Rattus norvegicus: one gene and its partner. The protein of the gene in region 2 interacts with the protein of the main gene of each other region in a pairwise test. Links are inferred from orthologs where the notes say so. Each region holds a gene or a part of one and is shown on either strand. Other genes may lie near its edges.

What was found.
Region 1: the proteins of Sumo1 (region 2) and Zmym5 interact in binary tests that used the Homo sapiens proteins (3 or more experiments, as listed by UniProt). The link is inferred for Rattus norvegicus from reciprocal best matches to the Homo sapiens genes SUMO1 and ZMYM5.

The regions. Positions count from the first base shown.
Region 1 is NC_086033.1:35,054,033-35,058,211, forward strand, and holds the start of Zmym5 (zinc finger MYM-type protein 5), read right to left. Parts: upstream 2,811-4,179; 5' UTR 2,672-2,810; intron 2,557-2,671; exon of another isoform or gene 2,419-2,556; intron 1,475-2,418; exon of another isoform or gene 1,418-1,474; intron 1,283-1,417; 5' UTR 1,187-1,282; intron 1-1,186. UniProt on the Homo sapiens protein: Functions as a transcriptional regulator.
Region 2 is NC_086027.1:68,600,000-68,604,188, forward strand, and holds the start of Sumo1 (small ubiquitin-related modifier 1), read right to left. Parts: upstream 2,805-4,189; 5' UTR 2,764-2,804; coding exon 2,752-2,763; intron 1-2,751. UniProt on the Homo sapiens protein: Ubiquitin-like protein that can be covalently attached to proteins as a monomer or a lysine-linked polymer.

The DNA of each region.
Region 1 (4,179 bases), on a different chromosome or scaffold from region 2:
TCCTCCTTTCATTCAATTGTAAGTTTTCAATGAGTTGTTTGGATTTGTGTGCTCTATGTTGTTTTTATCACAAAGATTGTTTTCAAATAATAAAACTCATGGTATTCATAGGCATTAAAAATTGCATCTCAAAATGAGCTGGTGTAAATTAAAAGCTTAATAGCAAAAAGGATGGAGATAGTAGAGTGCTTTGTGCTGGTAGTTTCCTTTCTTACCAGCCTGACACAAGCTAAAGTGGGGGGGGCACGGACGGACCTGTAGACACTATCAGACTGGCCTGGAGGCAAGCAAGCCTGCGGGTACAATCGATTCTAAGCAGTAGAAGACAGGCAGATGCACATGGTAAGCTACCAAGCAAGAAGCTTCAGTTTCTGCCCCAACTTCCCTTTATGATGGGCACTAAAATGTAAGAGAAGAGTGTGAAGGAAAATCCAGCTGCTGGAAGCATGGCTTGGGATGTCTCAGAGGGCAGCAAAGACTAACAGGGTCATTTGTGTGACATCATGAAAAACTGACTGGGATAAACAAGAAACCAGCATCATTGAGGTGAAAGCTACAAAGGGTCCAGTGCACACAGCGATTGGGAGGCACAGGCGAGTTTGAACTCATTCTACAAAGTGAGTTTCAGGACAGCCAGGACTACACAGAGAATAGCCATGCTCTTTTCTGTATTGACTGTGTATGGGTGTTCTGGGCTACAGGGACTGGCTGAGTGAGCCCTCTCTCCAGCTCCTGGCTTTGTACTTTTAAAGCAGAGGTTCTTAACCTGTAGGCAGAAACAGCTCGCACACATAGAAGTAAACAGACCAGAGCTGAGTATAAGATATAATCTGGCCACATAGCAGGAAATAACGCCAGTAGTCAGGTTAGAGTAATCAGGAGACTGCTTAGCAAAAGGAGTCCCCACACCAAGTGCAGTGCATAATTTGCTGTTTGGTTCTAAAGGATTCACTGCCCTCTTCTGGACTTCTTCAACACTGCACCCAAGTGGCACACAGACATATTTTACATCTATTCGTGTAAAATATACTCTTTTAAAAAAATAATCTGTGATTTGTTTTTCCTCAACCTTAAAACATGTCAGTAATTTAAAAAATATTTCCCGTTTATTTTAGATAATTATTTAGTGGTTTAAAAAATACAACAGCAGAGGGCTGGGGATTTAGCTCAGTGGTAGAGCGCTTACCTAGGAAGCACAAGGTCCTGGGTTCGGTCCCCAGCTCCGAAAAAAAGAACCAAAAAAAAAAAAAAAAAAAAAAAAAATACAACAGCAGAAAGAAATCTGGAAAGGAACACAAAAATGTTAAGTGCACAGCATCTTAGGAATAAGACCATAGTCCTATTTAGGAAACCTAGACGACAGCAATGTTATAATATCCACTAACACACTATAGGAAAGCTATACAAAATGACTCACAATGGAGATGTTTTCCTTATTTCTGCCAAATGCTTCTTTAGAGTGGCTTGAAAAATCCTAGAATAAAAGGAAATTAAAAAACAAAAACAGGGCTGGAGAGATGGCTCAGCGGTTAAGAGCACCCGACTGCTCTTCCAGAGGTCATGAGTTCAATTCCCAGCAACCACATGGTGGCTCACAACCATCTGTAAAGAGATCCGATGCCCTCTTCTGGTGTATCTGAAGACAGCTACAGTGTACTTATATACAATAAATAAATAAATCTTAAAAAAAAAACAAAAAAAAAAACAAAAACAAAACAAAACAAAACAATACACACACACACACACACACACACACACACACACACAAACCGTGAGCATCAACAGCTCTGAGGTAGCACCGAACCCTGAACGCCAAAGGAGGAAATAAATCAAGGTGAAGTTATTCCCAAACTGTTCTACCAACCTCCAAATAAACAATGGATATCAAGTATTAAAGAACGACAGCAGGCCAAAGCTCAATATATTCTTTCCAGTTTCGGAATTAGGAGTAGAGCGCACAGCTGAGCAGAAGAGTAAACGCTTCCTCCAAGCCAGCAAGGGGTTCATATTTCCCCTAAGCAGTTACAACTCAAGTACCAATCCGACCCGAGAGCGGTTCAACAATTGGGTCTCATCTGCCGCAAGCACTTGACCTGGGCCTAAGGTTCCTATTTCTCAGTTCAGCAACCCGGGACTAGCACCAGTCAGCCATTAGAAACTGGCCCAAACGAGATTAAAAGCTGCGACAGGCGAGAGCGAAAGAGAAAACGCTGCGGGACCTAAGCTGCCGCCCCCTAACACGGAAAACTTGGGGTCTCGGTCCGGCAGACAGGGAGGAGTGCGCCCCGCCAGACCGAAGGGCCAAAGGGCTCCTCCCCGGCCCGCCCGGCCTCAAGGCGGAAAGGAAAACACCCGGCGACCTCCGGCCGCCGCCGCCCGCCTCACCCAGCCCGCCCGGCCGCGCCCCCGCTCCTTTACCTCTCAGGCCGCAAGCGAAGCCGCCCAGGACATGAGCCCGGCCCTCAGCGCACCCGGAGGCCCCAACGCAGGAGCGGCGACGCCGGCCGCCCCGGGCTGCAAAACCCGGCTCGGTGGGAGGCTCCCGGCCCTCGCCCATCTCCGCCTCCCCAGTCGCCCCCGCCTCCGCCTCCTCCTCCCGAGGCTGCGCTGCTCCCAGCCACCCCCACTCTCCGCGGCCCTCGACAGGAAAGACAGCGGGGAGAAGCCTCACCCGGTTCTGGCTGCAGCTCCGCCGAACGAACCTACCCTCCCGCGGCCCACTCCCCTTGCGCCGCACAAACAACTACGCTCAGCTCCGTCCAGTACCGTCTTCAGCGCTGGTGAGGAGGAGGCAGAGGAGGCGGTAGAGGAGGCGGTGGCGCCGCGGAGTCCGGGAAAGGCCCGCCCTCCGCACGCTCATTGGCTGCTGGCGAGGGCGGCCCGGAATGCCTCGGGCAGATTCCATTGGCCCAGTCGGCCTTCTTTCAGGACCCTTCTCCGTGAGGTAGTCACTGCGGCTGTCCGTAAGCCGTGGGCCACGCCCTCCGGCCTGTCGGCCCTCCCCCCACCACCCCCGCGCCGCCTGTCCCGTGCTGGGCGGGCCCTACCTCCCTCCATCCCTCCCTCCCTCCATCCCTCCCTCCCTCCATCCCTCCCTCCCTCCGTGCCCCCGCCCCGCCCCGTCCCGCCCCCACTCGCGGGGTCTGCCCGGGTCAGGAGCCCGAGTGGTGCTGCATGCAGTACGCCTCGCGCTTCGGCCTTTGGGCTGGCGGTCTTCGTCGAGGCTTCCCGTGGGCCGGGGATCGGGACGCCAGGCCTCGGCCTCCAGACGGTCGCCGCGGTCCCCTGCAACTCTGCCAGAGGAGAGACGAGGCCTCTATGTCCCGGCATCCTCCCTATCCAGGCCCCCAAGGCCCGGGCGACTGGCGAGCCGGGCAGTGGCTGCGGCAGACCGAGGGGGCGAGCCCGGCCGCGGCTGGACTGCAAAGGCACTGGTGCGCTGGCGGCCGTGCAGGCGCTTCCACCTTGCCTGGCCTGTGGGAAGGGTGTCCCTCCTCCGCCATGGCTGTGGCGGGAGGAGATGTCGGCCTCCATTTTGTGGGATCTGTTGGGAGAACTTGGGACCCATCAGAACCGAAACCGTGGGGATGAGAAACTTGGCCCGGAACGGACCCGATCGCGCTCTACCGTAGGCCTTGCCCTCGGCCGCTAACGGCGTGCGCGCCTAGATTGCGGCGGGGCCACACGACGGTGCGGGCCCCAGACTCGCCTCCGGGCTCCCTTAGCGGGCTCGCGCCCCTGCAACCTAGACTGTCTGAACTCGACCGTCGGTGCCTGGCCGAGCACGCGCTCCCGGGCCTGCCCGGCGCCTGTCCTCCACGTTGACGGGACCTTGGGTCACCGCATGCTTTTCGCTTCAGTCCTGTCCCCGTGGGTAGTGACCCTCGCAGGGGAGTGCCACCGGGCGCATTCGAAGCGGAGCCGCTGGAGAGTGGCACGAGGGTCTTTTGTTCCTCTACACCTATGTCTTCCGCAGATGACATGGTGCCAGATTTCCAGGACTCCCTGGAACCTAAGAAATGCACCTCGCCCTGGTGGTTGTTAGTGGGATTACAACTGATGCCTTTGGCTTGGATTGAAGTACTTGTTAAATAGTATGTGAAAATATTTGACTCTTTCGGGACTTGGTGGAGCAAGCTTTTAGATCCAACACTCGCAGGCAGAGGCTGGTGAATTTCT
Region 2 (4,189 bases):
TGGTTATAGAATGATCCTCATTCTTTGGGAAATCATGTACCAATGATGGGACCTATAGTACCTTCTTTTTAAAAAAACTGCATAATTCAGTGAATTCTCAAGGTTTAGGCATTAGATTGTGATCTATTTTAGATATAAAGATCCACTCATTTTAAACTGAAATTATGGCAAGACACAGTGGCATACACATACACCTGTAATCCCAGGACTCAGGAAAGTAAAAACAGAAGGATCACTGCCAGCCTAGATACACAGTGAGAGCATCTCAAAACAAAGAGAAAAGCTGAAACTATTACTCAATGTGACTATTTTAAGCACAAGATACAAGCTTCTAAGAGTTGCCTCAGAAAATAAAATGTGCATGGGTACTGGAGGGCATCTTGTATTCAAGTCAAGCACATTATCGAACCCCCCAACTTGAAAAAGTACCCTCTAAGGCCACCTTCTGAAGACAGCTCAGTCTCAGGCTGTTGCTATTACACACAGTACTTGGGGATTCCTACTCTCACTTATAAACCTCTTACAGGCAAGGATTCACTTAACCGTTTTCTCCAAATCTTTAACACTCAATACTGAACTTGTTCTGGGAACTAAGATTAATGTTATCCATCAGCCTAAAGCAACAGCTCCCAAATCCATTATCACACTCTCAATGATTTAAAAACCTATCAACCCAGCTGTCGTGGTGGTATACACTCTGGGAGGCAGAGGCAAGGCAAGGAAAATCTGAGGCCAATCTGATCTACATAGCAAGTTCCAGGACAACTAAGGCTACACAGAGAAACCCTTGACTTGAACTAAATAAACCCCTAAAATGTTAGATACATTTTTATTACTTTTTTTAAAGACAAAAATTTTAAGAGTAGCAGCACTATTTCCTATGCAAATTGCTTTAATGTGTAGCTCAATTTAAAAAAAAAGACTTGTTTTGCCAACTGTGGTGGTAGACATCTTTAATCCCAGCACTCAGGAAACAGACACAGGAGAAACTGAGTTCCAGGCCAGGAAAAGCTACATAGTTAAGACCCTGCCTCAAAAAAAAAGATTTGTTCTACTTTTTTGTCATGTTTCTAAAATTTTCATTGAACATCCATGATAGAATGAGAAACACACACACACACACACACACACACACACACACCAAGTGTGGCAGCATAACTCTGTAATCCCAGCTACTCTGCAAGGCTGAGGGAGTCCAAGTTCAAAGACAAGTGTGTTACAGTCCAACCTAGACAACTTAATGAAATGAAGTAAAAGGAGAAATGAGGGTTTAGTGCCTGCCTGGCAAGCACATGTGGGAGGCCCTAGGTCCAGCACCCAAAGACCCCAAGTGAGGTGAGAGAGTCCTAAGCAAGCATAGAGTGACTTTGCAGACTCCCTGAAACCTTGTGTCCTAGGGTCCTCTTTTCTTTCTTCATATCCTCACATAATGTAAGTTCAAACTAGAGCAAAACTAATCCTAAAACTTAAAACTCTTTCTGTATGTTGCCCTCTCATCTGGCTAACATGCTTTAAAAATAGAAGTCTGATGAAGCATAAGCGTTTACACAGCTGATCTCTCCTCTCTGGTAACTAAGTAAACAACTGTCATAAACAAATTATGGGCTTCATAAAGTCATTTCTAGCCCAAAAGATTAATAATCCAGATTATTAATAAGTAAATCCATCCCACAACTAATTTACAGTGTAGATAGGCTATAAAAATAGAACCACTATGGCCAGTCTGGGGTGGTTGCAAGCCTTTCATCCTCAGGAAACAGACAGGCGGATCTCTATAAACTGGAGGCCAGCCTCGTCTACAGAGGGAGTTCCAGGACAACCAGGCTACACAGAAAACCAACGTCTCAAAAAAAAAAAAAAAAAAAAAACCAACAAAAAAAATTTTAAAAAAGCTCAACTACAATGTAAAGTAGAATGAAAAAAGTTTGCTGAATTGTAACTAAAGAAGTAAAAATTAAAAAAAAAAAAAATACTCTGAAAATTAAGTCATCTGACCAAACAAAAGGAAAGCCAGACAAAAACCGTATGGATGGCATGTTGGTGGTGGCACTCTACGCAGTTTGTTGTTTCTCGGTTATTCTGAGCGCTCCTACAACTGGAGAGTTGATGGACCAATCCCGAGTAAGAAATGGAAAGTACAGAGAAAGAGTCGACCGCTCCGCACCCCCGGATGGAAAAATGACTCTGAAGTGGGCAAAGACGGACTGACCCTCCAGGCAAACACAACTGAAAAGCAGCGTCTCCTGGGTTCCCAGTCACCCCAAACAAGGATCCCTGCCCGCCCCCCACTCTCCGGGACCAAGAACCCAAAGTAGAATCGAGCTGCTTTTCAGGGCCACCTAGCCTCCCAGGCAGGGATTCTCTCCCGTTACATAACTGGGCCTAGGGCCTTGTTTCTGCCATCGGTCCTCTGAAAGGGAAACGGTCGTTTTCCCCCAGGTTGCTCTCACGGACAAGGGAGCGGGCCTGGGCCCCCAGCGAGCCCGAGAGAAACCTGGGAGCAGTCGAAAGAGACCCGGCGCTGGATGGCGTGGGGGTAGAGGCCTCCGAAAGGGCCGCGGAGGGTGCGTAAAACCCGGAGACCCTCGATCCCAGGCGGCTCGGCCCGACTCTGCCAGGCGCTCGGCGTCCCTCGCGGCCCCCTCCCCACCGGCAGCCCCCTCCCCCAACATCACCCCCTCCCCCCGCGCCCCATTCCAGGGGCTCAGCCAGCAGCCGACGGCCCTGAGCCCCAAGGCCGTGGCCCGGTACCTGGTCAGACATGGTGTCGGTGGATTCACCCGGGGGTCTCCGCACCACAGCGGCCTCCGGCAGGCAGAACCGCACTCTGAGGTTTACAAATCCGTCTCTTCTCCACAGCACAACACCGCGGCTGCAGGGACTTCCGCTACGTCTTGCGTCACTTCCGCAGCGCGCAGAGGAGAGTTTGGGAAGACGGGAAAGGGAAGCGGGAAAACGCCTTAGGGAATGCGGGAGATGAAATCGTCAAGGTTAAGCTACTTTCCTGGAGCAAGAGAACCGCTAGGTCTTCAGCGGGGCCGGGAAAACCGGCCCGCTGCCTCAGGCCTTAGGGAGACCAGCGCTTTGCCTGCAGGCTGTGTGTGTTTGGGGTCAAACTGACCGCTTAGGCTCCTCCCTGTTGGACATCTTGTACGCTTCTGAGGCCGGAACCAACTCTTCCTGAATATAGTGAATTCCCTGTATAATATCTTTATGGCCCCCTCTTGCTTGCTGCTGCCACATTCATGACTTTGATTACTAGAAATACAATAGTAACAAGTTTTCATTTTCTACAAGAGAGAAAGTGAAAGCGATTTGGAAGCCACTAGCATGTCAGAGTGAATGAAGTTAACCACAACGAGCTGAGTTATGGTGGCGTACTCCGAGTGATAGAGGCAAGCAGATCTCTGTGAGTTTGAGGCCATCTTGGTCTACAAAGTGAGTTCCGGGACAGCCAAGGCTACATGGAAGAACCCTGTGGGAGTCTAGGGGTGGGGCATGAAGAAACAACCCTTCCGGTCACATCTTTGGTTTTGTTTTGTGTTTTGAGGCAGGGTCTCACTAAGTAGCTCTGGCTATTATAGAACATTGCTAAGTCAACCAGACTGGCCTCCTCTTGCCTCTGCCTCCCCAGTGCTGAGATTAAAGACCTGGGCCACCACATCTCCAGCTCTAGAACAAAGTCTTGGTGGCTATAGATGACCAAAATGCTATTGAAAGTTGAAGTTGCAAGAGCTCCCTCCAGCTCATAAACTAGTTGCCTTACATCATAGACCTAAACATCTTCCTTTGAATACAGTGACCCTCTTGCACAAACATTCAGGGAAGATTAAGGTTATACTAAGTAAAGGGGGGAAAAATGAAAACTAAAGTAAGTCAAAAACCTTCACAGTACAAGACATTAATAAAATAATCTTTTCTGTAATTAGTAATGAGCCGATTATAAGTGGCCCAGCAATCAAAGAGCATTGGCTACTCTTCCAGAGGACTCAGGTTTGATTCCCAGCACCCGTATATGCATTCAAAAATGCCTATAACTCTAGTCCCAGAGAATCTGATATGTTTTTCAGCACTGCACCAGGCCTAAATGTGGTTCATAGACACACATTCGGACAGAAACACTCATAAAAATTAAAAAATTATTAACAATTACTAATGAAAATATGAACATTCACATCAAAAGAAGGAA